Linked DNA regions of Caenorhabditis elegans. The protein of the gene in region 1 purifies or fractionates together with the protein of each later gene. This does not show direct contact. Each region holds a gene or a part of one and is shown in the gene's direction. Other genes may lie near its edges.

What was found.
Region 2: the proteins of nuo-4 (region 1) and cox-6B fractionate together in Caenorhabditis elegans (co-fractionation; one large-scale study listed by BioGRID). This does not show direct contact.
Region 3: the proteins of nuo-4 (region 1) and dif-1 fractionate together in Caenorhabditis elegans (co-fractionation; one large-scale study listed by BioGRID). This does not show direct contact.
Region 4: the proteins of nuo-4 (region 1) and ndub-10 fractionate together in Caenorhabditis elegans (co-fractionation; one large-scale study listed by BioGRID). This does not show direct contact.

What each region holds. Positions count from the first base shown.
Region 1 is NC_003281.10:7,152,972-7,162,275, reverse strand, and holds nuo-4 (NADH dehydrogenase [ubiquinone] 1 alpha subcomplex subunit 10, mitochondrial), read left to right. Parts: upstream 1-3,466; 5' UTR 3,467-3,472; coding exon 3,473-3,844; intron 3,845-3,889; coding exon 3,890-4,118; intron 4,119-4,166; coding exon 4,167-4,291; intron 4,292-4,339; coding exon 4,340-4,483; intron 4,484-4,533; coding exon 4,534-4,640; intron 4,641-5,195; coding exon 5,196-5,417; intron 5,418-5,815; coding exon 5,816-5,927; 3' UTR 5,928-6,250; downstream 6,251-9,304. Other genes in the region: Pre-mRNA-splicing factor syf-2, read left to right, coding at 161-289, 337-688, 737-960; rnp-7 (U1 small nuclear ribonucleoprotein 70 kDa), read left to right, coding at 1,126-1,275, 1,320-1,502, 1,549-1,611, 1,659-1,737, 2,532-2,865, 2,934-3,123; ogt-1 (UDP-N-acetylglucosamine--peptide N-acetylglucosaminyltransferase), read left to right, coding at 8,506-8,541, 8,735-8,902.
Region 2 is NC_003281.10:2,782,233-2,789,379, forward strand, and holds cox-6B (Cytochrome oxidase c subunit VIb), read left to right. Parts: upstream 1-3,969; 5' UTR 3,970-3,971; coding exon 3,972-4,028; intron 4,029-4,075; coding exon 4,076-4,195; intron 4,196-4,258; coding exon 4,259-4,447; 3' UTR 4,448-4,522; downstream 4,523-7,147. Other genes in the region: Y71H2AM.6 (DNA/pantothenate metabolism flavoprotein C-terminal domain-containing protein), read left to right, coding at 297-539; Y71H2AM.20 (Serine/threonine-protein phosphatase 2A activator), read right to left, coding at 594-719, 1,703-2,067, 2,915-3,257, 3,303-3,392, 3,459-3,584, 3,635-3,712; nduc-2 (NADH dehydrogenase [ubiquinone] 1 subunit C2), read left to right, coding at 4,630-4,975, 5,658-5,731; tbcc-1 (C-CAP/cofactor C-like domain-containing protein), read left to right, coding at 6,213-6,417, 6,475-6,599.
Region 3 is NC_003282.8:7,549,773-7,557,370, reverse strand, and holds dif-1 (Protein dif-1), read left to right. Parts: upstream 1-4,496; 5' UTR 4,497-4,506; coding exon 4,507-4,801; intron 4,802-4,875; coding exon 4,876-5,369; intron 5,370-5,483; coding exon 5,484-5,633; 3' UTR 5,634-5,714; downstream 5,715-7,598. Other genes in the region: nprl-2 (Nitrogen permease regulator 2), read right to left, coding at 1-162; F49E8.8 (Phosphatidylinositol-glycan biosynthesis class F protein), read right to left, coding at 166-285, 347-553, 603-722; F49E8.7 (BACK domain-containing protein), read left to right, coding at 1,008-1,052, 1,099-1,257, 1,304-1,764, 1,811-2,363, 2,411-2,725; F49E8.6 (Early nodulin-75-like), read left to right, coding at 3,126-3,200, 3,246-3,509, 3,555-3,716; oef-1 (C2H2-type domain-containing protein), read right to left, coding at 5,953-6,002, 6,344-6,497; pam-1 (Puromycin-sensitive aminopeptidase), read left to right, coding at 6,567-6,612, 7,182-7,326. UniProt on the Caenorhabditis elegans protein: Seems to play a role in the maintenance of tissue differentiation in the developing embryo, but not for its initiation.
Region 4 is NC_003279.8:10,517,552-10,525,561, forward strand, and holds ndub-10 (NADH dehydrogenase [ubiquinone] 1 beta subcomplex subunit 10), read left to right. Parts: upstream 1-1,808; 5' UTR 1,809-1,809; coding exon 1,810-1,966; intron 1,967-2,354; coding exon 2,355-2,917; intron 2,918-2,999; coding exon 3,000-3,062; 3' UTR 3,063-3,210; downstream 3,211-8,010. Other genes in the region: nlp-4 (Transthyretin-like family protein), read right to left, coding at 1-107, 157-301, 349-351; exos-3 (Exosome complex component RRP40), read left to right, coding at 830-993, 1,045-1,321, 1,371-1,610; UPF0598 protein F59C6.12, read left to right, coding at 3,320-3,378, 3,425-3,507, 3,550-3,611, 4,050-4,190, 4,237-4,413; dhhc-12 (Palmitoyltransferase), read left to right, coding at 4,601-4,631, 4,832-4,920, 4,983-5,062, 5,256-5,373, 5,592-5,822, 5,885-5,978, 6,023-6,144, 6,187-6,354; F59C6.3 (uncharacterized protein), read left to right, coding at 6,908-7,113, 7,159-7,207, 7,467-7,635, 7,681-7,771, 7,824-7,935.

The sequences.
Region 1 (9,304 bases):
ATGTTTTGAACATGTAACTATCGGTTTAAAAAATATAGATTGTAAATGAATTCAAATCATATCGGTTCTTCTTTTTCTGATGTTCAAAATATTCTGTATTCCGTTTCAATGTAGCTTTTCTTCTCAACTTTCTGGATTTCTCTTCAACACTTTTTCCTAGATGTCTTCCGAATCACAATCGAGCAGCAGTGGGCCGTCGTCCAGTGGATCAAAAATGAAGGATTTCAATCAGAGGTTCCGTGATCTTCACAAACTCCGCCAAAGAGCGAGAAAAGAGAATCACGAACAGGTTAGTGTTTTAACGTTTACATTTTCAATTATAATTTAAAATTGTAGGTCGTTGAAGAAGATCGTCGCAGCAAACTTCCAAAAAACCACGAAGCAAAAAAGGAAAGAGATCAATGGCAGGTTAAAGAGCTACAAGATCGAAAAGCTGCAGAAGACAAGGGATTGGACTATGAACGTGTTCGCAGTTTAGAGATGTCTGCAGATGTTACTGAGAAGCTTGAGCAAAAAAGAAAGAGAAAGAAGAACCCAGATCAAGGATTTACTTCTTACGAAGATATGACTCTTCGTCAACATACTCGCCTGACTGCTGCTCTTGATCCAGATCTTGATTCTTACAAAAAGATGAGAGAATGCGTTGGAGGGGAACAGTTTTACCCAACTGCTGACACACTTATTCATGGTAAGGAGCAAAACTCATAATTTCAAAGAAAAACCAAAGAGTTTTCAGGAAATCACTATCCGACAACTGCTGCAATGGATAAGCTCACTAAAGATGTTCACGGCCAAGTTAAAAGACGAGAACAATATCATCGTCGTAGACTTTATGATCCTGACGCGCCAATTGATTACATCAATGAGAAAAACAAGAAATTCAATAAGAAACTGGACAAGTACTATGGAAAGTACACAGAAGATATCAAAGACGATTTGGAACGTGGAACAGCTATCTGAAACCGAGGATCGCTTTTTTATTTTCTTTTTCAGACATTTTTTCAACTTTTTTTCTTCTTTTGTTTTGTTCTTCATCTTCCCATTCCATACTATTTTCTCTCTTCTATTCGATAATCTTTGTACCTACAAAACTCAAATAATAAATAAAAATTATTTTCAGGTGACATGACGGCATTTCTACCTCCCAATCTTCTGGCGCTTTTCGAAGCACGACCACCAGTGCAATATCTTCCACCATGCCAGGACCTACTAGTGGACAAAAATGCTAAAAGGGCTCCGATGACTGGAGTTGCTCAATATATTCAATTATTTGAGGTTTGAACGTAACTTTATTATTTTGGAAGCTATTTTTTTTTCAGGATCCGAAAGATACTCCAGCAAAAATCCCAGTAGTAACAAAAGCTGAAGCAAAAGAAGAAAAAAGACGACAAAAAGATGAATTGTTAGCATATAAAGTAGAACAAGGAATCGCCACGTGGAATCCAGCTGAGAATCCAAGAGCTTCGGAGGATCCATATCGCACTCTATTCGTTGGACGAATTGCACGTTTTTTTAAATGTTAGAATGTGTTTTAGTTTATATTTTCAGAACTATGAAACGTCTGAAAGCAAGTTGAGACGAGAATTCGAAGCGTATGGTAAAATTAAAAAGGTAAGTGTCTCGTTTCTTCCAAGTTAAGCTTTCATTGTTTTTTCCAGTTAACAATGGTCCACGACGAGGCAGGAAAACCACGTGGTTACGCGTTTATCGAATACAGTGACAAGGCTGAGATGCATAGTGGGTTGCAGTTTGTTTGTCATAAAACAAAAAATCATTGGCTGAACCTTTTGCTCAAAAAAACAACAGAAATTTTATTTTAAAAACCAATTTTCAAGGAACACGCTCCTATTTTTGTAATTTTTACAGCCACGCGGCCATTGTGAAATCCTGGGAAATGAATGGGAATGGCAGAGCGCGCAACTCTCCTATCGATTAATTTCTGATAGGTTTGTTTGTTGGTGAGCTCAAATAAAAAACAAGAAATTAAAAAAAAAAGGAATTAGCATTTTAAGAAACGAGTCTTTCCAAGAAAAAAAACATTATTTAAAATTGCACGCTTGCTAAAAAGGTTTTAGGCATATTATCGCATTTAAAAACTTTATTAATTTGTTAAGCTGAAAATTTCTGATATAAACTCTTTTTTTAGTACTAGGTCTTTGAATTTCATTTAGGCTACTAGATTAGGAAAAAATCCAAGAATTCAGATTTATTTTTTTATTTTTTGAATGGGTAAGGTACACGCTTTGTAAGTTTTCCTCACAAACATCAAAAAAATCATCTTGGGATTATTTTTGTAAGTTTCTTGCCGCTTTTTGTAAGTTTTCCCGTAAGTTTTGTCTGTAAGTTTGAAGTCTAACACATTTTCTGAATCGCGGGTAAGTGGTTGGGTAAGTAGTCAATTCCGCGAATGACATGGAGGCCTGTGAGCGCTTTTTTGGTAGGTTAGGTAAGATATTTATTGAGTAGACACACAAATCCGTATTCTCTCACCTTATTCCTTATTGAACATAATATTCGAGTATTATTTTCAGCCGCTTACAAAAAAGCTGACGGAATCAAAGTTGATGGTAAACGTCTAGTTGTCGACTATGAAAGAGGTCGTACTCAGAAGACATGGTTGCCTAGAAGACTTGGCGGTGGAAAAGGAGATACTCGTAAAACTCGCGAAGCTAAATCAGTCATTGAAGAACGTGAAATTGCGTCTGGATTTGGAGGTGGGTACGAGGATCGAGATAGAGAAAGAAGTGGTAGTCGGGATAGACGTCAAGATTCTTACCGTAATGGTGGAGGAAATGATCGTGATCGACGAGAATCATCGGGCGGATTTAGAGATAATCGCGGTGGAGGTGGCGGATTCGGTGGAGGGTTAGTTTTTATAAGATTTCGACATCTTATTTGTATTTTTCTTCACTTGTTTTAATTAATATTTTCAGAGGCCGTGATCGTTTCAATGATCGAAGTGGTGGTGGTGGATACGGAGGTGATCGTGATAGAGGAGGTGATAGAGGAGGTGACCGTGGAGGAAGCCGATACAGTACAGGTGGAGGATCCGGTGGTGGATATCGAAGCGGTGGTGGAAGTAGCGGAGGTGGTGGTGGAGGTCGATATGGTGATCGCCGTTGATTCTGAAACCAAAGGCCTTGTGGATTTTCCTCGCTTTTATGTTTGTTTTGTATCCTTCGATCTGAAATTTACCGATTTTTCCTTCTGCTTTCTATCTCGTCCTCTCAAATCATTTTGTATTCCTAAACACTTTTTCAAACCTGAACGGTATCTTCTAATTTATATTTTTAAGTTATTGACTTTTTTCTGCTCAGAAGTTCAACTATTCGAGGGCAGATTCTAATAAAGCTTCAATTGCAATATTTTCTGTAGAATAATTTATTTCTAATGGTTTTCAAACCTATTCTAATATTTTATTTTGTTCATTTTCCAATTTAATCTTATTATCTTGTTCCTTGTTAAGACCATCATGCCGGGTTCCATGAGCAAATTGGGAGGGCTGGCAACCGGTTTGCTGGCCTGCTCCAGATCAGGAGCACTCTCAAATCAAGTCAGAGGAGTTGTTCATAAAAGTCTTCTAAGACTTCCATCTGAACATCCAGAACCATGGGACTATAAGCACAATGGATTCAATTATATTGATGGATTAAAAGACGACACTCGTTCTCATTTCCATCAAAATTCCAAGCTTATCGTTGTTGAAGGAAATATTGGATCCGGAAAGACAACTTTAGCCAAACAACTTGCTGATCAACTCGGCTTCGTTCATTTCCCAGAATTTAGAATGGACGATATTCTCGTCGATCGCTACGGAAATGATCTTCGCAATTATTATAATAAAGTAAATAATAATTCAACCTAACTCTTAAATGTAATATTATTCCAGTTCCCAGCTCGTTACCGTCTTCCAGACATTTCCATGTTCTATAAGAATCCAAGTGGTGAACTCTCAGCTGCCATGCAAGATCGCATTTTCAACTGCCGTTTCGATCAATATCTCAACGCACTTGCTCATATTCTCAATACCGGTCAAGGAGTTGTGCTCGAACGTACTCCACATTCGGATTTCGTTTTTGCCAATGCAATGAGAGATAAGAATTATATTGGACATGAATGTACGTTTATTGTATTCATGAATTTTCTTTCAAAATAATTGTTTCTAGACTTCAAGCATTATTACTTTGTCCGTAAAAATGCTCTTCCTCAACTACATTTCTGGCCTCATTTGGTTGTTTATTTGAATACACCAACCAATAAATGCCTTGAAAATATCAAGAGACGAGGAAACGTAAGCTAGATTTCTCATAAAGATATTCAAAATTTTATTAATTTTCAGACAGACGAAATTGCAACAGTTGACGAGCGTTACTTAAAAACAATTGAGGAGTCTTACAAGGATTCACTTCGTGAATACCGTAATCACTCGAAGATTCTTGCCTATGACTGGACAAAACCAGGAGACACGGATGCTGTTGTTGAGGTAAGGAAAAGTTCGAAATTCTTAAAAGAAAAAAAACATAATTTTTAAAGGATATCGAACGACTTGACTTGGACTTCTTTGAATGGCACAGTGGTGATGTTATGGAAGAGTGGAATACAATTGTTGATTCAGTTGGATGGAATGGATGGAGACAATAGTGAGTTTTTTTTTTGAGAAATATATTCGAGATCATACATTTTCATTGATAAAACGAAACGATTAATTTATTGAAAATACCAACAAAAAAGCCATCAAAATTTTTAGGAAATTTAACATTCTAGGAATTGAAACTGGCCAAAACTTGTTTTTTTTTTATTTTTAAATTTTGCAAACATGGACAGAAAATGATTTCTGCGAAATTGTGTCCCCATCAAGGCAAAAGATTTTTGGTTTTTTTTGTGTTTTTAGCAAAAAAAATGTATTTCGCTTTATTCAAAAAAAAGAGCAAAAAAACACAATTTTTAATTTTGATATACTGAAAGACATAAATTAAAAACAAACAAGTATGTGTTTTTCAGTCAGCGACAGGGTAACAGAATTTTTCGGTTTTTTTTTTGAAAAAAAAATGCAAAAAATGGATTTTTGTAAAAACCACGAAAAAAACGATTTACGAATATCGTAAAAATCTACAGCCCTGATATAACATTGAGAAAGTATTTTAATTGAATTTTAAAAGTTTCATCCACATTGTATAATATATAATATCTTCTAGTGTCACCAATAAATACGATGCCCGTATGCTTGCATTCGATGGAATTCCAAAACACGAAGTTGGAGAGCTGTACACAAATCCACGTGATACTGGACACTTCCTTCACGTAATGCGTAAAGAGGTTCTCAAGTCACCATATGGCTATGGATATATTGCCAAGAATGGTGATCATCAAGCAGGACTCAATGCATGGCACACTGGACACCATCTTCCAGAACCATGGTAAGTTGTTTTCAATATTTGAAATTTAACTTGAAGGTGGAGTAGAGTCAATTTGAAAATTTGCTTTAAGTAATAGAAAATGAACCGAAAATACCGAAAACAAAAAAATTATAAATTTTTTCAATTTTCAAAAATGTTAAAAATTATTTTTGAATTACCACATAAATGAATCATGAATATATGATATTCGGACATTACGGTCTATTTTCTACCATTTGAAGCAAAAATTCGAATAGTCTCCACCTTTGAATTCTTATTTATGTTATTTGCATTTTAAAAAGTTCAAAAGCAACAGCATAAGATTTTTTTTAAAGCTGTACTTTTTAAAAATCCGTATAGCTAAACTTTCAATTTTATAAAAAATTCTTTTTTCGAATTAACATTTTTCTATTGTTCAGGTATGAATACTACTTCCGAGAGGCATACTATGATGATTTGACATCTCACGAGACATCGCTGGATTTGGATTCGGATTCATACGATCCGGATTATGTGCACCATCATCACTAAATCCATCTCTTATTCTCATCGCTCCAAGCTGTTTTTTTTCAGTAGATTTCGTAGATTTTTGTCGTCGTCGTCTTCGATTTTCTGTTTTCGATTTGATTCTTCAATCACAAATCGGTTCGCCTTTTATTATGTGTTAATTCTTTTTTGTATTCATATTTTTATTTTATAGTAAGTAGAGGAAGAATCGATCCGAGAGAAAATTTAATGCGAAAATAAAGGGTTTTTATATTTTTATTGTTTACTTGTATTTTTGTTCTTGGTTTTCTGAACTTTCCTTATTTACTTTTCACCTTTTTGAATGATAAATTACTAGAAATTTGGAATTCAAAAGCTTTTTCGATTCCTTGACTTGGCATAGAGCCAGCACACACCTCATAGAATACACCGGAACCCTGGAGACGCAGAGAAACGGCTAGAGACAATAAAAAGCAAAGAGTGTCCGGAGAAGTTTCTCTGTGCCTCGCGTGGGGTTCTTTTCAGTTTCTCTAGTGATATCTCGATTCACAATACTATCTCACTTTCACAAGACCAACGGGGATACCCCGTGGTCGACAAAGTGGGGGGAGTTGAGAGTGAAGAGACGCAGAAAAGATAGACAAACTGGAAGAAGATGAAGAAAAAGGACGATGTAGAAAAGAGGACTTGCTCTTTTTCAAGAGAAAAAGGACAGCTTCTCTATTCTCTCTATTACCCCACGCACACTTTTCAAATTATGCGTACTTTGGGTTTTATTCATATTATATTGCCACGTTTGGGTTTTACCGTACTACTGAAAATTTATTTTAATCTTTAGAGTCTCTCTAGTGCCGCGAGTGACTCGTGTCGAAAATGACGTCACTGCTGTGTGTGCTCTGTGTTTGTGCTTTTGCTTAGGAAAACAATAGGAAACATTATCAAAATTCTAAGATATTTGTTTTTTATAAAGTAAATGAGAATATAGTTTCTCTATTCAACCCATCAGAAGCATTACAATCATTTGGTCTTTGTTTTGTTTTTATTTACTTTCCCACTTCGTTTGAACACTGATGTCTTCCGTTCTTTCACTTTTCTTGACCAAAATCTAGAAATTGCAAAAGTGATCTCTGATCTTCGAATTCTATATTCTGGTCCAATGGAGGATTGATGTTTAATGTTTAGAGAGCAAGAAACATTTTCCAGTTCCTACTTCATTTCCTGGTTTTGATGCGTATAGCATTTCCATGTACTAAGTGTTAAAACACTCACTGGAAAAAGAAAGAATAAATACGTTTTCTGCAAAATCTGTTATATAAAACACGAGAAATTCTATCTGGTGAAGGTTTTCAATTCAAAAATTTCCGAAACTCTGCTTTTCAGAAAATGTTTCCAAATTTACAATGTCCTCTGTAGTTCCAAGTCACAGTTTGATTATTTTCCTGCTAACTCTTTCTTTTCACAAAATCTGAGTTTTCTTACTTATATGAAATTTTCTTTATAATCAAGGGGTATATCTAACAAGGAAGCAAACTATACTCGAAAGAAAGTTTAAATTGCTCCTGCCACGTATCGAGCTCAATAAAGAATCAAATTCCGTTTTACGAGTAGAGATTCAAAGTTCACAAATGACATCAATTCTCGCTTTTCCCCTCTTTTCCTCACTCTCTTTGCCGCCATCATTCTTTTTAATTCTCTCACATGTTTTTCGTGTTTTTTGCTTTTAGATATGATACGGTCTTTTGATACTAATATTGTTTTGAATTCAAATTCTGTATTGGATACGGTACTTTTCATATTACAAAATTTATAAGAGCAAAATGCATAAGAGTAAAAATTTATTTTAATTGTAAGTAATAATTTCAATTGACTAAAATCAGAGTTTTGATTTCAAAAAGCTCTATTAACTCCAGGGTACTGGAAAAAACCAAGCACGTGCCTAATGGAAATTGAGATTAATTGAACGGAGATTTGTAGAAGATTATATTCTCGTGTAGCAGGGATTATTGAGATTTAGGAAGCTTGTATTTTCAGCACTGACCCAGCTCTTATGATGTATATTTTATGAATTTTCTCAAATGCTGAACAATTTTCGGATTTTCTTTTATTTTTTTTTAATCTTAAAACATTTTAAAAATAAATATTCATTGCCACTCTAAAATATTGAACGAATTCAAAAGCCGCGACATTCCTAGCCTGCTATACCCCAATCCCGTTCCATCTTTTTACGGGCCATTTTCCGGCTTCCCTCAAGGCCAATCATGGTCTGTTCATCTATTTTTCTCTACCCTCCATTTCTTACATAATCTCTTTTTCTTATCTCTGCGTCTCTTGTCTCTAATCGTATCAGAACATACACTTGAAGGGCCGATAGGAAGAGGTTTTAGAGAAATCAGAGATAGTAGGTAGAGTGTGGAGACCCAGGCAGTGGTCTTTGGCATCTCTTTTACGTCTCTTCACTCTCTCACTATTTTCGTTCTTTTTCCACTTTTGTTGAATTTTTCGTCTTGTTGTTCCCTCTTGAATTTAAATTTCAGTTTTCTTGAAATTATTTTCTTTTTTGGCTTTTTCTTGTTTCCAATAGTTCAATTTCCAAATTTCAGAATTATATCGAATGGATTAGACGATGGAGAAGCCCAATTACTTTCAGTCGTATAATAAGGTTAACAATTATTTTTTGTTTTCAAATAGAAAATAAAATTGTATTCAAATTTTTTCTAATTAAAAATATTAAAAATATAATTACAAAAAAAACTATTTCGGAACTGAGACTTTCCAACACTGTAAAGTTGAAATTTAACTATTTTTTCTCCTTTATTCTTCAATTCCTTACTAATTCTATTTAAAAGCTTCAGGTGATAGGAGCAACCGGAGAGCAATTGGCTCCCGGAGCAGTACCTCCACATCCTGTACTTGCACCATCAATTGCTCCTGGAGGAGTTGCTGGAGTATCGGCAGCAAACATGGCCAACATTATGCAGACTCCTGGTTTCGCGAATCTCGTTCAGCAGGCTATTCGAACGGTTTGTTAAACAAAAAACATTAAAAATTAAACAAAATTTTAAGGTTTGAAAAGCAGACCAAAAAATTTATCAAACAGAAAATAAACCTAACATTTCTAAAATAGATTACCCAGACGCGAAATTTAGCGATTTTTGTGCTTAAAATACAGAACCCGGTCTCGAAACGACATATATTGATTAAAGTCGAAAAGGTGTGCGCCTTTGAGGAGTACTGTAGTTTCAAATTTTCATTACTGCGAAATTGTCTTGTTTTTTAAATACATTTGAGCTTTTTTTAAAAATTAATAAGTATATTTTCTCGCATTTAATAAACATTTTGCGTGGTGAGACCAGGTAGTTTTTTCTTAAAATATTACCCGAAAAACTCAAAAATCGAGCTAAAATTTTCTAAATGATGAAACA
Region 2 (7,147 bases), 4.4 Mb from region 1:
ATTTAATATGATTTTTTTTTCAATTTTTAACTAAAAAATTATTGAAAAATGGCAAAAGGTGTTTTAAAAAAATCGGTTTTTTTTTTCAATTTTAGAAAAAAAAACTATATTTCAATATATTTCAATGTCCAATGTACTTTTTTTTCACGGTTTTTTCTCTTTTTTTTTGGAAGAAAAAGTACATAAATTCAATTTCTACTGTATTTTTCGTGCTTTTTCTCAATTTTTAATCAAAAAATTAGTTGAAAATGCCCATTTCCCCCCGCTAAATTTCAATTTAATTCGTAAATTTCCAGCTAGAAACGGACGAAACAAAGCTGATTCCAAAGGCAAAAGCTGCTCTCTCCAAGTACGGCCATCAACTCGTCATCGCGAATATGCTATCAACTCGCAAGCAACGTGTAACTCTCGTCAGAAAGAATATTGAGCAAGGAGAGGAGATTAATCTTGCTCCGGGAGCCCCCGAGCTGGAGATCGAATCGTTTATAATCGATCGTGTTAGCGCTTTACACAGACAATTTATTGATGCACAAATGTAGATATACAGTCATGATTTTCACGGAAAATGAATAAATATTTTAATATAGTAGAGATCATGCATCGGCCATTGGTGGTGGGCAGTGCTCGTTGGGATGTTTCTCACTGTGAAGACGTCGCAAGTCTCCAGATTCGACGACAGATGACGAATGGACGGTTGAAGTGTTGGCGGCGGATGGGATCTGAAATAATATTTGATTTTTCAGGGGGAGTTTGTGAGAAAAATGATGGAAAAATCAATTTTTTATCACCCTCTTTCTGAAAATTTGCGTTAATTCTGAAAAAACCACTTTTTTTACAAAAATTTTTTATGGTCGGTCAAAATATCGAAGAAAAAAAAGCCAAATTTTGCTAAAATCTGAAATTTCGCACACTTTTCTTTGTCACAGCCGCTGGATTTTAATTTTTCTGAAATTATCACCCTTTAATCCTTATTTTGGTGATTTATCTCATTTTGATCATTTTTGGGTGCCTATCGGCCTAAAAGTTGTCTCGATCAACGAATTTCCGCGAGATAAATCACCAAAATAAGGATTAAAGGTTGATAATTTCAGAAAAATTAAAATCCAGCGGCTGTGACAAAGAAAAGTGTGCGAAATTTCAGATTTTAGCAAAATTTGGCTTTTTTTTCTTCGATATTTTGACCGACCATAAAAAATTTTTGTAAAAAAAGTGGTTTTTTCAGAATTAACGCAAATTTTCAGAAAAAGGGTCATAACAAATTGATTTTTTTTCCTAATTTTTCTACTAATTTTTAGAAAAAGAAACAAAAATCTTGGGTTTCATTGGTTTATATACACTTTTAATATACACTTTTTGTAAGTTTTCTACGGGAAAACTCGAAATTTAAGGCGATTATAATAGCTTTTGTTGAAAAATTTGGTCATTTCTCAATTCTTCCAGCAAAAAATCGTAATTTTCCATACAAAACGTTTTTTTCTGACAAAAATCAGTTTTAAAAGAATTTTCTGTTTGAAGGTGAAAATTCAGCGGTTTAGTGCGTTTTCAGTGAAAATTGGTTTTTCTGCCAAAAAAATCACCACTTCTTCTCGATTTTTTCCATTTATTTTTCAAAAAAATCAATTTTTCCAGTGAAAAATTGAAAATTTCGCTTTAAAATCTCTATAATTGTCGATATTTTTACCATTTTCTTCTCCGAATTAACCTTAAAAGCGAACATTCCATGCTGAGCCGGAGCTCTTGGAGGCATCGGATCCTGTGACGGAGCATCTTCCATAGATTCTCTTGGATGCTCCGATCGATCAAATGAGAATAAAGAGCCGAACATCATGTGCTGAACAACTGGAAACTTCTTTAAAACTTCTCCTTCATACATTTTAAACATTCCACTATTGACTTTTTTCCAGTGTGGAACTGCTGAGATATTCCAAAGTTGATTTGAATGTTCGTGGAAAGGGCCGGTTTTTGTTTGATTGATAAAGTTTACGCAGTCCAGGAAAAGACTTGTGTGGGCGTGAGTCTCAACAATATTCTTTTTTAGGTAACTGTCCGGCACGATACTTTTTGAACCTGAAAATCGAAACAATTTAAGATTTTGGAGCGGATTTTTGGCTATTTTTTGGCATTTTTCAACATATTTCAGGCCTATATAAGCTTTGGAAATTCAAAAGTTTTTTTTTTTGTAATTTATTGGTAGAAAACTAGATTTTTAGGTGATTTTCTAGTAAAATTTTATAATTTTTTTTCTGAAATTTTCACAGAAATATGCTTTTAAGCGGGGTTTTCTAGAAAAATTGTAGAAAAATTTTTTTTTGTCATTTTCGGTGCCTTTTTTAAGTTTCACAGGAAATTTAGTGAAAACTAGCTTTTTTTGAAGTTTTCCTACGAGGAAATGTTGTAGATTGAAGATTTTAAACGATTTTTCCCGGATTTTTAATAGGAAAATCGCGAAAATTGATGATTTTTAACGGAGAAATTGAGGATTTTTCAATGAAAAATTGTGAAAACTTATGATTTTTAAAGGAAAATTGCCAAAATTTATGATTTTTTGGCAAAAATCGCAAAAATGTGATGATTTTTTAATGAAAAATCGGGAAAATTGTTGATTTTTTATTTAAAAAAAATCGCAAAAATTTGTGATTTTTCGACAAAAATCGTGAAATTTGATGATTTTCAACGAAAAAACGGAAAAATGCATGATTTCGAATGAAAAATCCTTGAAAAATGAACGTTTTTTGAACAAATACTGTGAAAAAAGACATTTTAGATAGAATTTTCCGACAATCTGTGAAAATAAGTCGGTTTTTCTTCGGAAAACGACTTAATAATTGTGGTTTCTTGAGAATTTTTGAGTTTTTAATGGAAAATTCAGCTATTTTCCTGAATTTCAAGACTTCTAGTTGCTCCAACATATTACCAATAAGCTGAGCGCTTCCAAAAATGAACGGCGCGAACTGAAAATCGTCAATCGCATGAACTCCACGACTTCCAGCCGGCTCCATCTTGAATCTGGTCTGCAGATGACGGCACACTCTCAAATACTTGTTAAAAATGCGAAGAACGAGCACTTTGTCATCATTTTCTGTGAAAACGCCCAACTTTTGCAGGCAAAACAGCAAAATTAGGAAATTCGCCTCGTGTCCCGAGCCGTAATCGATTCGAGTGGCGTTTCCGAAGGATTCTGTGAAATATGGAACCAGTTCGACTAGAGCATCGTGGACGTTTTCCGGAAGAACGCTGGCTAGGAGATCTGGGGATTCCTGGAATTTTTAAAATCTTTTTAAATACATTTTTGAGCTAAAAACCTTGCAAAGCTTCTCATAAAACTTTCTGTAAGCTTTATTGCCAAATCTTTGCTCGGAAACATCTTCCAGAGGAATTTCCTCAGCCCATTTCTGAAAAAAATCCATTTTTTATTTTTTTAAATCTGGTTTTTCGTAATTTTCCGTAATTTCTCGAACCTCCAGCTTATCCAGCATGTCGATAAAGCTGATAACCAAGTCTGTGCATCTCATGTCTGCAGTTGTATGAACTCCAACTACAGAATCATTCAAACGATGCAAGAAAGCCAGGTACTCCTCGTAAGCCTGCAAATTTCCATTCATAATCCTTCAAATCGATAAAATTTCTGTTCTACCTTGGAAAAGTACCACGGATTCAGGTCGAACACATTTTTAATCATCTTTTCCGGCGGTTTATACGAGTTTTCAGCCATTTTTCTGGAAAAAAATCTATTTGTTTTGATTTCTAGAACTTTGTTATGTAAAAAAATAATGCAGCAAGTGCGCTCCAACGCAAAACCCCATTGTGGAGCGTTTTGTGCGTGAGAGGTGTATAGGAGTGTGTGGCTCGCGCAGCGTCTTTAGTGAAAAATTTTTATTGATTTTAAATATTGTTTAATTCGGTTTTCACGGATTTCTGAGCTTTGAAAATAACCGCCCGTGTTTAAATTTCAATTATATTCAATTTCAGTAATGCCTGTCGAAGTTGAGGTTCCCCCAACCACTTACGAGAGACTCCAGCAATACAAGGTGAATTTTTAGCGTTTTTCTTCATTTTTATCGATAAAAATTTACAGGAGAAGTTCTCCGATGCTCTCCGTCATCCAGACTCGCCAGACTGGTACAAGAAGGAGACCCACGAGTCTGTGAAGAAGGATCTTCTCTGGGCTGCTCCATACGACGCCAGATTCCCACAGGTTGGTAACTTTATTTAAAATTTATTATATATTAATTAATAATAAAAATGTACAAGTTTTCAGGTCCGTAAGCAACGTCAATGCTTCGCCTACTACGTCGATTTCCATCGTTGCAATGAGCTCATGGGACAGGACTACAAGCCGTGCAAGTTCTTCCAAAATGTCTACAAGGACTTCTGCCCCGGATTCTGGACCGAGAGATGGGACGAGCTTCTTTCCGAGGGACGTTTCCCAGCTAAATTCGATCGCTAAATGAGATTGTTCGATTGTATTCGAGAACAGGCGTTTTATTAGTGCTGATATTCGATAAAAAGTGTCACTTGTAAAATATTTTAAACACTTTTATTTCTTATGGCGTTATGAGACGCTTGAAATATCTCATTTTTTTTAAAAATCATATTTCCCCCAAATAAATAATTTTCTCAGTGGAAACCATGGCTGACTCAACTCGCGTCAGCGAGAAGGAAATCGAGCGCCGCGAGACCTTTATTCGCGCAGGACACAGAGCTCGTCACCTGGCCGATCCATTCACATGGAGCTACCCATTGAAGGGTGCCAGTGCAATGCTCGGAATCTCGCTGGCTTCGGTTTATTTGCAAAATCGATGGAACAAGAAGCCGTACTACTACGCAATTGTTCCACGGCTTTTGCTCATCGGAGCCGCCACCGCCGCCGGATACGCTGCCGGAGCACTTCGAGAGAGACACTATCAGACGAGAGACGCAGTCATCGAGCACTACATGAAGCTTCATCCAGAGGATTTCGACCATTTTAATGATCGTGAGTTTTGGAATTTGCTGAAAAATCGATTTTCAGATTTTACTGCAATTTCGAAAAAAAAACCCGGCTGAATTCGATCAAATTTGAAAGATTTCGGCTTTTTCCCCCCAGAGAATACCGTATTTTTCGCGATTTTCTGTGATAAATGCAGAAAATATATACATTTTCCCCGAAAAAAAAACGCTGAAAAGGAGAAGATTTGGCTAAAATGCTCGATTTCGGACCAATTTTTGCATTCAAACACCCAAATCAATGATTTTTATCTTAAAAATAGCAAAAATTGGCGTGAAAAACCGATTTTAGCCTAAAACACCATGGAAAACTACAAATTATCGGTTTTTTCGTATTTTTTAACAGTAAATTCGTCATTGTTCATGTAAAATACTATAAATCACCGATTTTTATGTTAAATTCAGAAAAAAAATAGTGAAAATGGCGCATTTCAGCTTAATCTTCTCCTCGAGGAGTACACGAGCTGCGTAAATCGACACATCACAGAAAACTTGAATTTTGGACTAGAATTCAGTTTTTTTTTCGCAATTCTAAGTAATTATTTTGGAAATTAGTGCGAAAAAAAGGGAATTCTGGCTAAAAAATTCAAAATTTCTGGGAAAACGGAAGATTTTCTAGTGAAAAATGCAAGAAAATCATCAAAAATTCATGGAATCTATTTATTTTTCAGGCAGTGGACGTTCATTCTCTCAAGTTCTTCTTCCATGGTATCCACGCAGAACCCAGTACACCAGATACGACTGAACAATTCTCTCGAAGTCTCTTTTTAGTTCATTATTGTAAATTAAATGAAGAATTATTGATTTTTTTCCCGGAAAATTCTCATTTTTTTCATTTTTCAGCATCCATCTGGTCTTTTGAGCCGTTTTGAATATAACTAATTAACCCAGAAGCAATTTTGGGGCAAAAATACTATACTATATCCTGGGTCTCGACGCGACAATTTGTGTTAAATGCGAAGAGGGATGCGCCTTTAAAAAGTACTGTAGTTTTAAACTTTTGTTCCGGTGGTTTTTATTGATTTTTTATAGTTTTTCTCACATTTTATGAGAATTTTTGCATATTTTTTTAACGAAACTAGAATAAAAACACATAAATTTCTATAAAATCTGAAAAAAAAACTATGAAAAATCGATCAAAAATTTAAAAAAAAACTCAAAATTGTCGTGGCGAGACCAGTTTTTTGCCACAAAAATCGCGCAAAAAAACGCCAGATTTCAGCATAATGGAAGCATCTTCGGAACAAATTTTATTGGATCGAAAAGATCGATTAATTGCAAAACTGGAACAAAGAAATGAAGAACGAAAAGTGCAAACTGAAGAATGTTTATCGAAATCTGAAGGAGCACAAATCGATAATTTAATGGCGGAAATTAAATCGGATTTGGAAGCGAAAAAATCCGTCGATTCGCAGAAAATCGACCGGCTTCGTAAGAAATTTCCCCGCCTCAAACAAACAAAATCGATAATTTTCTTCAATTTTTCAGAAGAATTTCTGGCGTTCTCGACGAGTAACCGGCAAACTAAAACAATTCAAAATTTCCTTGAAGACGTTCGAAAACAGAAGCTCGCGCTGAATTCTGGACCCAAATTCAAGGGTTTTTCGTTTTCAGTTCGGTGGTTTTTTTCACTGATTTTCTCAGGCAACTCAAATCTAATATGAAAATATTAAATAGCAATATTTTTGTAGTTGGGTGATATTTCAAGATAAAATCGCAATATTCCGAGACTTATTCGAAATCTTTTTAGATTGAGCAATCTTTTGAGAATAATTCGCAATATTTTGAGGTTGATTCGCAATATTTCTGAATCTGAAAATATTACGAAAAATTCGTAATATTTTGAGATGACATAGCAATCTTTTGAGATTGGTTCGCAATCTTTCTGAAATCTAAAAATATTACAAAAAAATGTGTAATATTCTAAGATTAATTTGCAATCTTTTTGCAGTCCATAAAGATTACAAAACACCATTTCCAAATTTCCATCGGCTTCACATGATCGTGATATATATACAACAATTATGATTACTGTTTCGTTCTAAATTCTCTTTTCTTCCAAATGATAAAAGACTTTTCAAAGTAAAAAACAGCTACATGAAAATCTATATAATGGAGTATCTCACTGTTAACGGATATTTGATTTTTCGTTGCATATTGT
Region 3 (7,598 bases), on another chromosome or scaffold:
TTTGATGATTGCACCTAAAGTGTTATGAAATTCTGCCAACAGAATTCCGAGAAGTTGTGGGGCATCATCAAATGTATAATGACCGAATCGACCACCACTTGAATCACCTGTTGCAAAAGGTCCTGCTCCGAATGTCGCAAGAGTTTTTTGACGCTGAACCATTGTTTAGCGTTTTTTAGTCTTATTGTAAGCGGTCCGCTTGATGACAAAAATCCGGGTAATGGCAATAAAAATACCAATAACTGCTCCAATAAAGCAACCGACGAGGGAAGGAAGAGGGTATCGCTGTAAATTAATTTATTACACATTTGACAAGAAGTGTATGCGCGCATATATGCGTGATTACCTGCCACCAACGATCCCAATCCAATGGATGAACAGCAGCTGCTGCCCAAGCACCCAAAAAAGCGAATACGGAGTTGAACAGTAAAACTGATTCTTTTGGTGTTGGATTGCCTTCACACGAAAATAATTGTAGGATCACTTCAACCGCTCGCTCTTCTGAATCGAATAGGAAGACGGCAGGCAGAGCAGAGACGGCCGTTAGAGCTGTCTGAAAACAGGAAAAATAAATTATTTTCATGTGCTTAATCTTCTCATACAGCAAGTACAGCGGTTGCAATTATATCAGAGAAAAACGGAGCGCCGAAAAGGACAGCGAGGATGTAAAACACCGCCCAAGAAAGAGTCACGAATCTGGCGGCCACGGGTAGACTAAGCATATGATGAAAATCCTGGAATTTTAGAAATAACAATGTTAACAGGTCTCAAGAATGTTTGTAATCATGAATGATCAATATTTACGATAGAATTAATTTACTAATTAGAAAATAAAAAAGTTATTTTAAAAAACACCATTACCAACATTGCGCGTCAGTTCCGATGTTTCTTCACGGTGTTTGCGTACTTATTGTTAAACATTATTTTTTTTCTATTTTTTTTAACTTTAATTTAACTTTGAAAAGCTTTCGGGGATACTTATTCCTTTTATTATTTATATTTTTGCAATGGGCAAAAAATCGAAGAACTCAGTCACCACACAAACTCAATGGGTAAGTGATCTCTACTATTAAAATGGAGTGGCCGTCAAAACTTCAGAAAAGACTCAAGATTGACTTTGTCGAAAGGAAAATAGACAAGGATGATGTATTTTTTGAAGAAGTCAGCGACGAGCAATTAAATGACAAAATAATTGTTCCTCTTTTCACAAGCAGTGGAACCTTTGAAGAGACTATCGGGATCTTAATTCAATGGCAAGTAAGTCTAGAGATTTTTTTACATGATAAACTTTCAAATCATTCAGGAATATTTGAAATCTCGTTCCGACAGACTCAGCGAAGTTTTCCTATCGAAAGTCAATTCATATTTTGAGCACATTCGAATCACGCTTGCTCTACCGTTTGATGAGTCGAAATGGGCAGAATTGGAAACACTGACAGAAACTGATCTCAACAAAACACCGATTTTTATCAACAATATTCGAACATCTACAGTCTCTGTCATACTCCATCTCGAAAATCTTATTAAATCGTTCCATCTGAATGTAAAAAGTGCAGAAATTTTTCCATTCGACTCTGACTCATTTGGGCTCCCACCGATCAATTGCAGGAAGATTTTGAATCCATTATTATGGATGAAAGCAGGAATCGAAAAGTTGATTCAAAATAATTGTCAATGCGACCAACCTCCAATTGTTCCACTGATTACATTGCTAGATCTTGCGCCAAAGGAAGGTCATTTTCAGGAATTAGCTATTGCCTCATTGTAAGCTATTATTATTAAATATATTATTTACATCTTATTATTTCAGCTTTCTAGAGAATACTGCCCATAAACTTGACTATTCATGTTCTGATGACGAAAAAAAGTTCCTGGATCAGATAAAGATGAAGTTTGGAACAACAAAAGTTGACAAATTAACAATGGTTTTACCGGATATTCTGATGGCATACAGCGAAGAGCTTGTGGAAAGAGTGATGCCAGTGTCATATTTCATCCCATTTGAACTCTTCCGTATGATGCTGCTCTCTTGGCAACCAAAAGTATTGAATCTTCGATTAAGAACAGAAGCATGTTCTTCTATTGAAGATGCTGCAAGAATTGAATGGGATGACGAGGATGTTTTCACTTCTACCACTCTTTTCAACTGTCCCTTGTTTGATAGATGCGAACCAGTGTGTCTTGGAGACGAAGAAATTATTTTGAATTGCAAATTGATCGTTGATTGCTCAGGAAGTCGTCTTTTTGATCCCATGTTCAACGAGGGGAACGTCTATACTGCTGGCAGAGATTTCTTGGTGTTATTCCCAATGCAAACGATCATATTGAAAAGAATTGTACCATTGAAAGTTGGTTCATCAGTGGTAAGTTCCTCTTTTGTCTTTCTAATTGGTTTTTTTTCTCATTGCAGAAAGTTCAATTGAAAAAACAAATCGACTACATAGTGAACACATTCTTCTTCAACGCCAGCGAACACCAAGATCGAGTTGTAAACTATGAACTCACATTTACCAACTCTACAGATGTTCAAATGAGTGCAGTGAAAAGATGTATACCACAAGTCGCCAATGGACGCCAAATTGGAGTCAATTTGAATGTTGAGCAAGAAACAAGAGATTTATTCACTGATCATGGCAATTCTTGCCCTGGAAGACATATGTTCGCCAGTTTTTTCGATTCAGAAAATCAGGTTATTGTAGATCTAAAAGTAGTGCTGGCCAATTAAGTTGTGCAGTATTATTATTTCCTTGTTGATTCAGTTGGTTTTCAATTCTGAGTACTCTTTCGTTGTCTGTTCTGTTTATTCTCAATGCTGTTTTCTCTGTTCTTTGTTTCTCTGCTCTTTTTTCCTTTTTCAACATAAATTTATGTGTATCCCGGCCGTAGGACGAGACTTCACTTGTTTCTCTTCCACTTGTTTCAACTTAAACGCGAATAAGTTTTTCAGTGCTATTCTGATTAGTGTGTGCACTGAAAACTGATCAGTGAGCGAGTTTGTAAGTCGTTGCTAGGCATTTTCATCTGTGGACAGCAGAGAGCGCGCTTTCATCGATCTTGATTCATTTCTCACGCTGCTGCTCTTTTCATTTCTTTTTTTTTGCTCTGAGATCGACGAGAAGTGAAAAATGCCACTTTTTGGAAGCAAGAAAACCGATAAGAAAAGTGGAATGAATGAAGCACCAAGCTATCCGAAGCAAAGTGTAAGTTTACTTAACTTTAAATCATGAATAATTTGATTTTTTTAGGCCGTTCCACCTCCTCCGCAAGTTGCCCACTATCCGATGCCAACATATCCACAAGGTCCGCTTGTTCAACAAAACGAGTTCTACTTCACCTCCGCTGGCCAACAACTCCAATCGGTTCCAACTACTACAGTCGCATTTGCAAGAACCGATCTGCCTGGGGCTTACGACAACTTCTGTGAGGGATTCCTCGACGGACCAGACTTCTCAAACCGAGTCCCAGACAGGAACATTCCCCCTGCTCCAGGATCGTATTACTTCTACTCGGTAACACACATTTTTAAATTTCAACTTTACCATACCCACTTTCAGCATGGCAACAGCTCAACCCCGTCGTTCGCCCCTCCCTACTGTGCTCCACCACCAGGTCCATCTTCATCTGCTCCACCAACACTCCCGACGTCTTCAGGCAACCTGCCGCCACCTCCAACCTACGAACAGGTTCTCTCGCAGGAAGTGAAAGAAAAACTATGATAATTTCGCTGAAGATTTTTCAACATTTTCAACACTGTATTCCCTTTGCATCTGTGATTGCTGTTTGCATACTAAATCATAATTATTCTGCGATTTCATTTTTTGTGCTCTTAATTTAGTCATTTTACCTGAACGATATTTTGATCAAACCACATTTATGCATTTATTTTCTCCCAAGACTACAAATAAGCCACGATGTAGTCTTCCTGAAGGGCAAAGTGCAAAAAACGAATGCTATCTGCGTCTCCCCGGTTTCTGTACTATCTCAATAACGTTTCGTTATCTTCTCTTTCTCGGAGAGTAGTCCAGCAATCTCTGTGTTCATTGGCTGTTATTTGTGGCGAACCCTCACAGCAACGACGTGGTCGGACACACAAACATTTTCTTCACTTATTTTTTTATCTTCCTTTTGTTGTTGATATCTTCGTAAACATTCGTTCCCACTATCGATCTAAATAGGATAAAAAAGCTTTACTGTTCTTTAAAAACTCCTAAAAATCCAATTTTAAATTTTATATTCGAAATTTAGCGTTTAAAGTGCAATTTTCTTTGATAAGATAAGTTAAGATAAGTTAAACATTTCTTACAAGGCCTGACAGGGTTTTCTTAAATTCAGAAATGTATTAACTTGAACAAAACTAAATATTATCACCCTTTTTTTAAATAACAGGATTCAGGTATTTTTCTTAAATCAAAAAACCACTTAATTTCTACATTAACCTTACTTAATATCGGAAAATTTCAGCCATCAGATCGAAGTTTTTACATTTTATTTTTCAGACGCATTGAAATGTCGGACGTTCTTCTGAATTTCATCGCAGGAGGAGTCGGTGGATCATGTACCGTAATCGTCGGACATCCATTCGATACTGTCAAAGTCCGAATTCAAACTATGCCAATGCCAAAACCAGGGGAGAAGCCACAATTTACCGGAGCTCTTGATTGTGTCAAACGAACAGTTTCCAAAGAAGGATTTTTTGCCCTCTACAAAGGAATGGCAGCTCCACTTGTTGGTGTTTCTCCACTTTTTGCAGTTTTTTTCGGAGGATGTGCAGTTGGAAAATGGCTGCAGCAAACTGATCCAAGTTAGTACTAAATCATCATGGGCAAACAAATAAATTGAAAATATGAGAATTAATCTTACCATTTTGCATTTCAGGCCAGGAGATGACATTCATCCAAAACGCTAATGCTGGAGCTCTTGCTGGAGTCTTCACAACAATTGTGATGGTTCCTGGTGAACGAATCAAGTGTCTTCTTCAAGTTCAGCAAGCTGGATCTGCTGGTTCTGGAGTTCATTACGATGGTCCACTTGATGTTGTCAAAAAACTATATAAACAAGGAGGAATTTCATCAATCTACAGAGGAACTGGTGCCACTCTGCTCAGAGACATCCCAGCTTCAGCCGCTTATCTTTCAGTATATGAATATCTAAAAAAGAAATTCTCTGGAGAAGGAGCTCAAAGAACATTGTCACCAGGAGCAACATTGATGGCTGGAGGACTTGCTGGTATTGCCAATTGGGGAGTGTGTATTCCAGCTGATGTTCTCAAATCTCGATTACAAACAGCCCCTGAAGGAAAGTATCCAGATGGAATCCGTGGAGTTTTGAGAGAGGTTCTTCGCGAAGAGGGTCCTAGAGCTCTGTTCAAGGTGATTTTTTTTAAACGATTGGGACGATGCAAGTGAATTTTTCGTCATTTCTCGACACATTTACATACATATATACTTTACCTGATTTCTAGCTACAATTTGTATAAATTTCAGGGATTCTGGCCAGTAATGCTCCGTGCTTTCCCTGCAAACGCTGCCTGTTTCTTCGGACTTGAACTCACGTTGGCTGCCTTCCGTTACTTTGGCATTGGTGGACACCCAACACCATCTACAGAAGTTGTTCCACTCCCACACGACGAGTAAATTTTTGAAAATTCTCATTTTTCTAATTAGTTTATACCATATTTATTTGATATTTTTTTCATTATTCAAAAACATTTACCCGAGTTGCCTTCTATTTCCATGTTTTGGGCATTTGTATGTTGTGTATATTTCTACATGAAAATCGTAAATTTTTTGATGAACTTCAAGAAGTGCTCAATGTTGAATTATATTTACCGTGTTCAGCTGTCGCTATACAATTTTTTTTGAGAAACAGGTTCATTAAATGCAGAACAATTATCGAAACAAAAGAGTACAACGGGTATGGTGAAAAAAAAACAGGGGAACATTTAAGATAAGACTATTCTAGATCGATGACGCTCTGAAGACTGCCAGGTTCACTTTCTGAAACTATTTTCACAATTTTAAACGATTGGGATAGTGATGATTGGAGTTAAATTGAATTTCATTAATTGAAAAACCTACACTAAATAAGAGTATTCTGGAAATGAGTAGTTTTAATTTAGAAATTCTTTTTTAGAAAACCTAACCTTTCTGGAAGAAATTGTATTGAAAAAAAGTTTTAAAAACACCGAAAATTATAATCATCAATAAAAATTTCTTTTCAAACGTTTACTATATTTACTACTCCTACAAAAATTTGGAAAAAAACAAAATAATGCTGAGAGCGATAATATTTCAAAACCATCCAAAAGAAAGCTGAAAATTCTAATCTAAATAATGACATTTACCTTTATTTCCTGTATCTATAGACTCGCTTCGAGCACCTTCTTCAGAATCAGTTTCATCCTGATTATCAAAAATATCATAGTCTGAATCCATCGAGCGTGTAGGTTTTCCGCGTTCAGAATTATCCAGACGACTTTGCTTGCTTTCTTTTCCATTCTAAAAATAACATTGATTTTACAAAATTATATACTAAAAATCTGTAATTCTGTCGTTCCAGATTTCAGAATGCTGGGAAGATTAGCAGTTCGACAGGCTGTCCGTTGCAGTAAAGGTAATTAATTTCCCGTTTTCTAGGAAATTTTGTAATTTTACATAGCTTAGAAGTAATTGCAAAAAAAAGCAGATTTTGCAGATTTTGGTCATGTGAGTTGATAAGACTGACAGCTGATAAATTCAGTACTCTGAATTCGTGGAAACAATAATATTAAATGATAAGTGTCACTTGATCAACTGTGCACAACTATACTACTGAATATTGTGAAATCTGGTCATCTAGATATCAGCAATAGCATGGTCAGAATAATAACATCCTAGCCGTTAAGATCAGCACAGGAGCCAAAAATACGGTACCCGGTCTCGACACGACAAATTTTTCTTAAATACAAGGTCTGCCCCTTTAAAGATTACTGTAGTTTCAAAATCTCGATTCTGTAACATTTTCATCCTGTTTTAAACCTATTTTTTGAACAAACACATCAATTTTATTGGAAAACAATGAGAAAAACGAGAGATTGAAGTTACAGTACTCCTAAAATGAAATTTTTCGTGTCGAAACTCGGTACCGTATTTTTGACTCAAAAATCGCTGTTTCGCCTGTTGTTCATTCTAACATTTTTACAGCATCCATCAAGCCCGTCAACACTCATCAGCTTTGCCTGCGCAATTTTTCGGCCATCCGACGTCTTTCATTTGTCGCCGGCGCCCAGTGCCGTCCCTACCACACAACAGCAAACATGCTCCATCGCACGGCAAGAGGCGAACACGGGTCAGTTCTGCGTCCCGGTGTGTGTATGTGTTTTTGATGACAATAGTGTCTCGAAGTGCCAACCTCTAACTATCCTTTTTCGTTATCGAAAATGGAAGGGTGGGTTCTAACGTCATTCACCCTATTTGTCTATACGTCTGTTATGTTTATCATTTTCACACCAATCTAAAGCAATTTCCACGAAAAATCTAATGATCTTACATTGTGTCATTCTGAAACATTTCATTCTACTGATAGGCTTCACGACTTCTTCCAGTTTCTATTAATTTTTT
Region 4 (8,010 bases), on another chromosome or scaffold:
GATAACGACATAAGGAGTAATCATATAAGCATCAGTTGTCACATAGGCTTTGAAATCAAATTCTCCTTTCTCGTTTGTCCATCGATCCATAAAATCTTCGTATCTGACTGAGAGTAAAGATTTTAGATTCAGTTGAACGATTTCAAACTCTCTTACACATTTGTGCTTCAGAAAAAATGTCCATTGGCATGTTGGCAGCAGGGACATCATCACACACAAGTTGTCCTTTGATATGCACGGAAAAATCTGTCTGCTTCACGGCCAGACACGTGGCAATAATACCGGAAAGAACAACAACTAGCTGAATGGGAAAACTTTAACTTCAAAAAACCTAACTATATTACATACCATTTACAAACCAGTTTGACCACTAAAAACTCAGTTGAACTGTATTTGAAACTAAATTTTTCTCGGTGTACGTGTCGATATTTATTTTAAAAAATTGCCACGCATTTATGTTTTCAGTGTTATTTTTCTTTTAGTCCTTGACAATTAATATTAATTGCAATTTCCAACATATCAAATAAAAATCAATGGGTACGGTATACAACACCGCAAACACCGTCACGTCAAGTCGCAGACTTTCAACAGCCGCTCCATTTTTATTTCTTATTTTTCTAGTTTTTCCGTTTATTTTGCGAAATATTATCACTTTTTGATTAATTTTATTGCAAAAATTTACAATTTTCAGTTAATATACTCATTGAAAACACTTTATTAACGTAGCTTATTACGTTATTCCTCCTGCGGTATTTAAATTTGGTTTTTCTATTCGCCACTACTTTTTAAAACGTTATTTTGTTCATCATTGAGTATTCAATTTTCAGAAATGACCGTATATCTCCCTGGCGACGTTATCAATGAACCTTCTTCAAGCGATTCCTCAATCATTGGCTACGGAATTAGTGTACGTGGCCAAACGAGAATTGCCACTCAACCTGGAGCTTTCCACAACGATGATGGAAAAGTCTGGTTAAATGTTCACAGCAAAAGGTAAGAATGATCACGAACAACATTTAAAATCACAATTTTTCTTAAATTCAGATATATACCACAGGAAGGAGACCGAGTAATCGCTATTGTCACTTCAAAAACTGGTGATTTCTTTCGTTTGGACATAGGAACTGCCGAATACGCCATGATCAACTTTACTAACTTCGAAGGTGCTACTAAAAGGAATAGGCCGAATCTAAAAACTGGAGATATTATTTATGCAACAGTTTTCGACACAACTCCAAGAACTGAAGCAGAGCTTACCTGTGTGGATGACGAGAAACGAGCACGTGGAATGGGACAGCTAAATGGAGGATTCATGTTCAAAGTTAGACACGAAATTTACTATTTATTGTAAAATTTAAAAATTATTATAGGTCTCCTTGAATCATTGTCGTCGACTAATCAACCCATCTTGCAAAATTCTTCAAACTGTTGGCAAGTTCTTCAAATTCGAAATCACTGTTGGAATGAACGGAAGAATCTGGATTAGTGCTTCGACTTCTGATGATATTATCAAGATTCACGATATTATCAATAAATCAGAGTTTATCACTGACGAAGATGAGCTTATCACCCTGGTTCAGAATAATTACACACGATCTGTCAGTGATTAAGAATCTTTATCTCAATTTTTAATTTTTCAGTGTAATTCCTGCTATTGTTGATTTTTTTTTCCTTTTGTTGTTGAACTTTTTAAAAATTTAATTTATCGTCTTGTTCTATGTAATATTTCAATTTTCAACGTTTCTTCGTTGTTTTAATATTTATTACTCAATATTCTCAATTCACAATGGAAAATTTTCGACATTCAGTATGGGTGAAGGCTTAGTGGAGCAACGTCAAGCTGACGATAAAGCATCTTGGGATGCTTACTGGAAAGTTCGTGATATCGATTCACGAGGATCCATCTACCCACGATTCCGTTATTATGCCCATAAGGCTTTCGACGCCCCAGCAACTTGGTTCAGAGGTAATTTTTAAAATTCTCAAGTTGGAGAATCATTTAAAGAAGAAGCAGCTTTGAAATTAGATTTAAAACCATTTACAAAATGTAAGAATTGACAGAAAACAAATTTCGTTCAAGTTTATTTACTTTCACCATTTGTTTTAATTCCAAGTAATTGATACTGTCTACGGTTTTATCCAGATTCAAAAAATTTGGGAACTTGTGGTGCAAGTAAAGGTTAATTTCTAATTCCCATATCATTGCTGTAAATTATAATTTTAAACTAGAAAAAAACCAAAGTTATTCGACTACCTCAAGCTGATGTACAGTTAGTAGTTGCAGTTCCACATAATAAATCAACTAGGCAAAACAATCCATTTTAATCTATTCTACTAACTCGTCAGCTTTTCAGAGACTATTGTGCAACCACTCAACAACAAGAACCGTCTACCCTACTATCACCGTCAACTTACACGTGTTCCGGAAATCGACGAATGCGGAGTGAACGACAAGGCCTGCTTCTACGAAGCCAATGAGCAGTACCGTCTTGATAAAATGGTCGATGGATTTATTCTGCAAACCCTCCGCCAACGTGTTGATCGGTGTATGCTTTACAACAATCCTGATCATTCACCATGTGCCAAGGTTATTGAGGATATGGAAGAGAATGAGTTGAATTTCTTCATGAAATACGGAGAGTTGGGAGGAGAATCCGATGTTCGTGATGCTTATATGAAGCAGAAGCATCGAATGATCTGGGAACGACGTCATCCAGAGATTATGGATGAGCGTGCAGCTAAGCTTGCTGATCATAAAGCACGACTTGCTAATGGAGAGTTTGACTATTCATTCTGGAAGAAGGGAATGTTCTATCAAGACAAGAAGAACTATGAGCCACCATATGAGTTCCAAATGAGCAAGTCAGCACTCGAGGGTGACAAGCCATTGTCCAAGGATTGGGAATACTACAAGAAGGTAAATATTCTTTCAAGATTTAATTTTAAAAAAGAAGCTACGAGAGAATCCTGGATCGAAAATTAAAATTTTATATTTTCAGGTCTCACAAGACCCAGAATTCGACAAGGATCAAGGAAAGAAGTCCGACTTCCGTCTCTTCTAATTCTACGCTGTCAATCTTTTCTTTTTCAATGAAATTTTTTAGAACGAATTGTGTTGAGTTTTCTTATTCCGTCGTAACAACTTTTTTTTCTTTTTCATGTTGCGTTCTTTTATTCCATTCAGAAAGTGAATAAATGTAGATTGTTTGATTGATTTATAAAGATTTGAATATGAATTTATGAGAAACGGAAATATTACCAGTCAGCTTTTCTTTTCAAATTAATTTAAATCAAAATTTAACTTTTTTAAGTTTCGGAAATGATACTGACATTTGCACGAAGTCTCTACACACAGGGGCAGTATAACGGAAAAATAAGGTTTTATTTTTAAATTAATTGTTTCTTTTTGAATTTGAGTTTTCAGAGAATATTTTTACTATGTGAGCCACAATGGTTTCCTATTTCTGGACGATTCGAGAATGAAGAATTTTACAGCGGCTTATAAAGGTTTATTTTACAGGAAAAACTGTTAACAAATCGAAATTTCAGATATTCAGTTTCTTAATTTCTTCTACAGAAAGATCAAGGAAAACAAGACGGGAAGATATGAGGTAAAACGCGAAATTTGCGATTTATCAACAAAAATACGGTAGCCGGTCTCGACACGACAATTTTTGTTGAATGAGAAAAGGTGTGCGCTTTTAAAGAGTACTGTAATTAAAAACTGTGATTTCTGCCGGATTTTTTTATTGATGTTTCCAATTCTTTCTATAAAATAATTCGACAGAATCTTAAGTTTTAATCTACAGTAATCTTTAAAGGCGCACACCTTTTCTCGTTTAACAAATATTTGTCGTGTCGAGACCAGGTACCGTATTTTTCACTTCAAAAATGTTGAAATTTCGTTTCTGGGTAATCTGAAAGTGTTCTAGATTTTCGATCAATTCCTATCGAATGCAATTAATTAAAGTTTCATCCATTGAATTGAGCTTAAATACTCAATTAAAAAATCGTGGAGGGAGCTGAAAAAAAATTATATGAAATTTCAGGATACATTCCCGTGGGTAAGCCTTTGTGGAATTGAGCGAAACTTTCTGAGATGCGACGACACTCCACTTGTTTACACGGAACTCGACTCCACTGAAAAAGAGCTCCGAATCGGGCAATCAACCATTTACCATTCGTTTCAAGTAAGATGAAGCACAGATTTTTCAGATCTGTATTCTAAAATTTCAGCCCTCATCACTTTCAATGAATTCAAGCGGCCGTGTTTATCACAAATGTCCGATTGGTGGAAAAGCACTGGTAGCTGACAAATTGACGGATAAACTGTATCGCCGGTTCCGATTTGACGATGACGGCGTTCCAGTCGGATTTCAGTGCGGGGAGCAGATAATTGAGCTTAAGAAATGAAATAAATAATAATTAATGTATATTGTCTGATGGAAAGTATCTAATGAAGTATTTAAAATAAAAATAATGTTAAACGTGAACCCTTTTCAAATTTATTTCCACGCCCTTTGGCGGCCTTTCAAAATCGATTTTTCAAGTTTTCGTTTATTCCCTGATCTTCCGGGAGTTATCTCCTCCACGTTGCATTATGGATGTTTGTAGGATTTTCAATCGGATAGGTCAGTTGCGAGACGTAACATTCTAAAATGAGCTTGTTTGGATGGGTCTTGCCGCGAAAACTTTACGGTAGCATGGAATTTAACGCGTTACCATAAACTTTTGATCGCAACTAGACCCACTCAAATAAATCTGTGCGCCTTTAAGCAGAGAATTAAAATTACAATAAAAATATTAAATATCGATGATCACCCTTTTTCAGTATACTTTTTGGTGGAAAAATCGTTGGGCGATATCTCGAAATTCGACCCATTTGATGTATTGAAGCTCGTCGCATTGTGGGGTGGACGTGTGAGATTTTTTGATAATTGGAAGCACAACCAGAGAGAAAGGCAGAAATGATAGTTTTTCAGTTATGTCTGCTGATTTTCGTGGGCACACTCTGCAATGTTACATATGTGGTAATCTTCAAGATGATACCAGTTGAATGGAAGTGAGTGAAACCTTCAATCTTCCACTCAGGCAAGAAATGCCTTCCTGCCTGCCTCTAGGTCGGTTCTGGCACCAACATGAGTGCCTACCGCGAAAAGTCCACGCCAATGGAAAAGAAAGTAGGCGTTAGGCAGGCAGGCATGATAAACTTGCTGAAACTCTATTTAACAATAGTTAAAGAAGTGTATTTTCAGCGAATGCCAAAATATGTCGTTCTTCGTGTTCCGTTTTGTGCTCCTTATCTACATTTACTACAGTGTCGTTTTTCACTACTACAAGGCCCGGACTCTGACACCTGTTGTGAATCCAGGGGTAAGCCTCCAAAAACAAAGATATGACGTCATAAGCATAAACGGTCGTCCGAAATCAAGCATTTGAGACAAATACTGTAATACACATTTCTCCACGAGGAGTACACACAAAGAACGTAAATCGACACGTTCTTTGTTTTACAGTCATTTCTCAATAAGCTAGAAATTGTAGAGCCTTTTTGAGATTTTTTTCTTAAAATTTCAAATCAAACTTTTCAGACTCCCAGTGACTCATTTTGTATCAAATGCAACAATTGGAAAGGTCCATCAACATCTCATTGTAAAGCTTGTGACAAATGTATCTACCGTATGGATCATCATTGCCCTCATATTGGACAATGTGTTGGAGCACACAATCAGAGCCACTTCTTCCTTTTTCTTTTCTATCTTCAAATTGCAACGGGCCTCTTTTTCTTGATGGCTACAACGTTTTGGATGAAATGGATAGAGGTTGGTTTGGTGCCTGCCTTGTGCCTGCCTATCCTTAAACTAGTAAATTATTAGTCCTTCAGACTCGTAAAGAACTAACTGCAATCCCGGATGATCAATGCTGGCCTCCATATTGTTTTAATAGATATTACTACTTGATTACACGTTCTCAAGGAAGTATGTCTGATGCATTTGAACCTTTCTAACTTCTCAAATTCCAGCCGAAGACACTATGGTTAAATTCGCATTTTTCCTTTTCGTAACACTTCATTGGATTATGTGGGGATTTGTTGGTGTCTACGTAGGAATCATTTCATTTGGATTAACTATGGCGATGAAAATGGTAATCAAATTGGCAACATCTGAACCAATTCAGAATTTCCAGTTTCAAAAGTCGGACGCTGAATCTCGTAAACCTTTCACTTGGTTCACAATCAAAGCTCGTTGGAGAAAATACATGAACTGTCAAGATGAGCCACTTTGGAAGATATTTTTTATTCCGAAAACCCGCAAAATTGTGTCGTATAACGATTATAAGGAGTTAATTATGTAGAATTATTGTAGAATTGTCTAATTTTCTCTTTTTTAATGTGGTTTTTTATATTGAGTTTTTTTGGTTGGCAATAAAAGGAATTGAAAATCGGGTTTTTTGTTGAAAATTGAAGAAATGAAGGTTGCTCAGAATCACTTTGATGGAACCAAAATAACAAATATCATGGGATAGAAATTTCAGAAAATATACTTTTTGTGGAATTCCAATTTGGAGCCGCGCGATTTTGTTAGGGCTTGGTGAGATGGAATGAGCTCGGCTTGTTTTCATATTTTTCCAATGACTAGTTTCTTCCTGACTTCAAGAAAAAACTTGAAAAAAGCAACAATGCAAGCGAGCTCCACCCTGCAAGCTCACATACAGCGTGGATGTTGAAATTGGAATTTGGTAAATGCTGAATTGGTTTTCAACAGGAAATAATGTTTTTTTTTTCTGGAAGTTTTTAAAACCATTGAAAAACGTGTTGACCGCCCTTCTTGAACCGTGGATTTTTTCTTCTAAAAAATCCAAAAAAATTTATCACAAGTTCTCATACTCTCGTTTCTTCCTCGAAGCGATGAGCACGACAAAATCGATAAAAATCAATTCAAATTCAAGTTTGACGGAGAGCAAGAAGACAACCATTGATGATGAGGACGAGCTGATTTTTCGAAAATCTTCGGATCCCGAGCCGTATCAACTGGGAAATGCTCCAGAATGTGTTTATTCTGGATGGAATATTTTCATTGGAATATTCCTCTTATTCACTACGATCTTCTTGGCGTGAGTTTCAATGAAACTGTTATTTTTTTACTTGGAATCTTTCAGATCAGGATCGGTCGCATCTATTGTAACTCAATGCTTTGGACTGGCTTATGTAAGTTATGAAAAGTATGGGTTCGTTCCACCAACGTTCCGCGACCAATCATGAGGCGTCACAAAAATAGCTGATTGGTCGATACTTTTTAAAATAAAAAAAACCTGCCTTGTGCCTACACGCGTTCCTACTGCTTAAATGAAAGCAACTGTAATAAGAAAATGAATAGTAATCCTCCAAAAATAGGCGGTGGGCAGGCACCGGTAGGCACAAGGCAGGAAAGCACGCCTGAAGGCGAGCAGCAAAACTTGATTTTCAGATATGTGCTGGCCTACTGACATCTGTTCTTATTCTCAAGTCGACACGTGTGATCTTTGCGATACTGACTGTGTTCTCGGCTATAACAATTATAATGACTTCTTTGACTATTTTGGGATTCGTTTATTCAATTGAAGGATCTATGCCAATGCCAGAACTTATGTTAAAAAGTGAGTTTTTACTGGAAATACATGCGTAAAATAAATATTTTGCAGATCCAACATTGGAAATAATTCTAGGAGGTTTACTTACTGTGCACATTGGGTTGAATGTCTTCTGTTTCTTTGTATTTTTGAAGAGATCTTTGTAAGAAACATGAGAATTAAATGTTTTTTTTTTGAAAAATTAAAAATTACAGTAAAAGTGAAGTAGCACCGGAGCATGGGAATATTGAAAGAGCAAAACGTGCATCTGCTCCAATAAAATTGGAAAAGGAATCTGGAGAAGTTATTGTGATGGATTATTTTTGAAAGAAGAATAAAGAATTTTATTCAAATTTTATTGCCAATTTCTTCGTTACTGAAAAATTCCACAGTGACACAGAA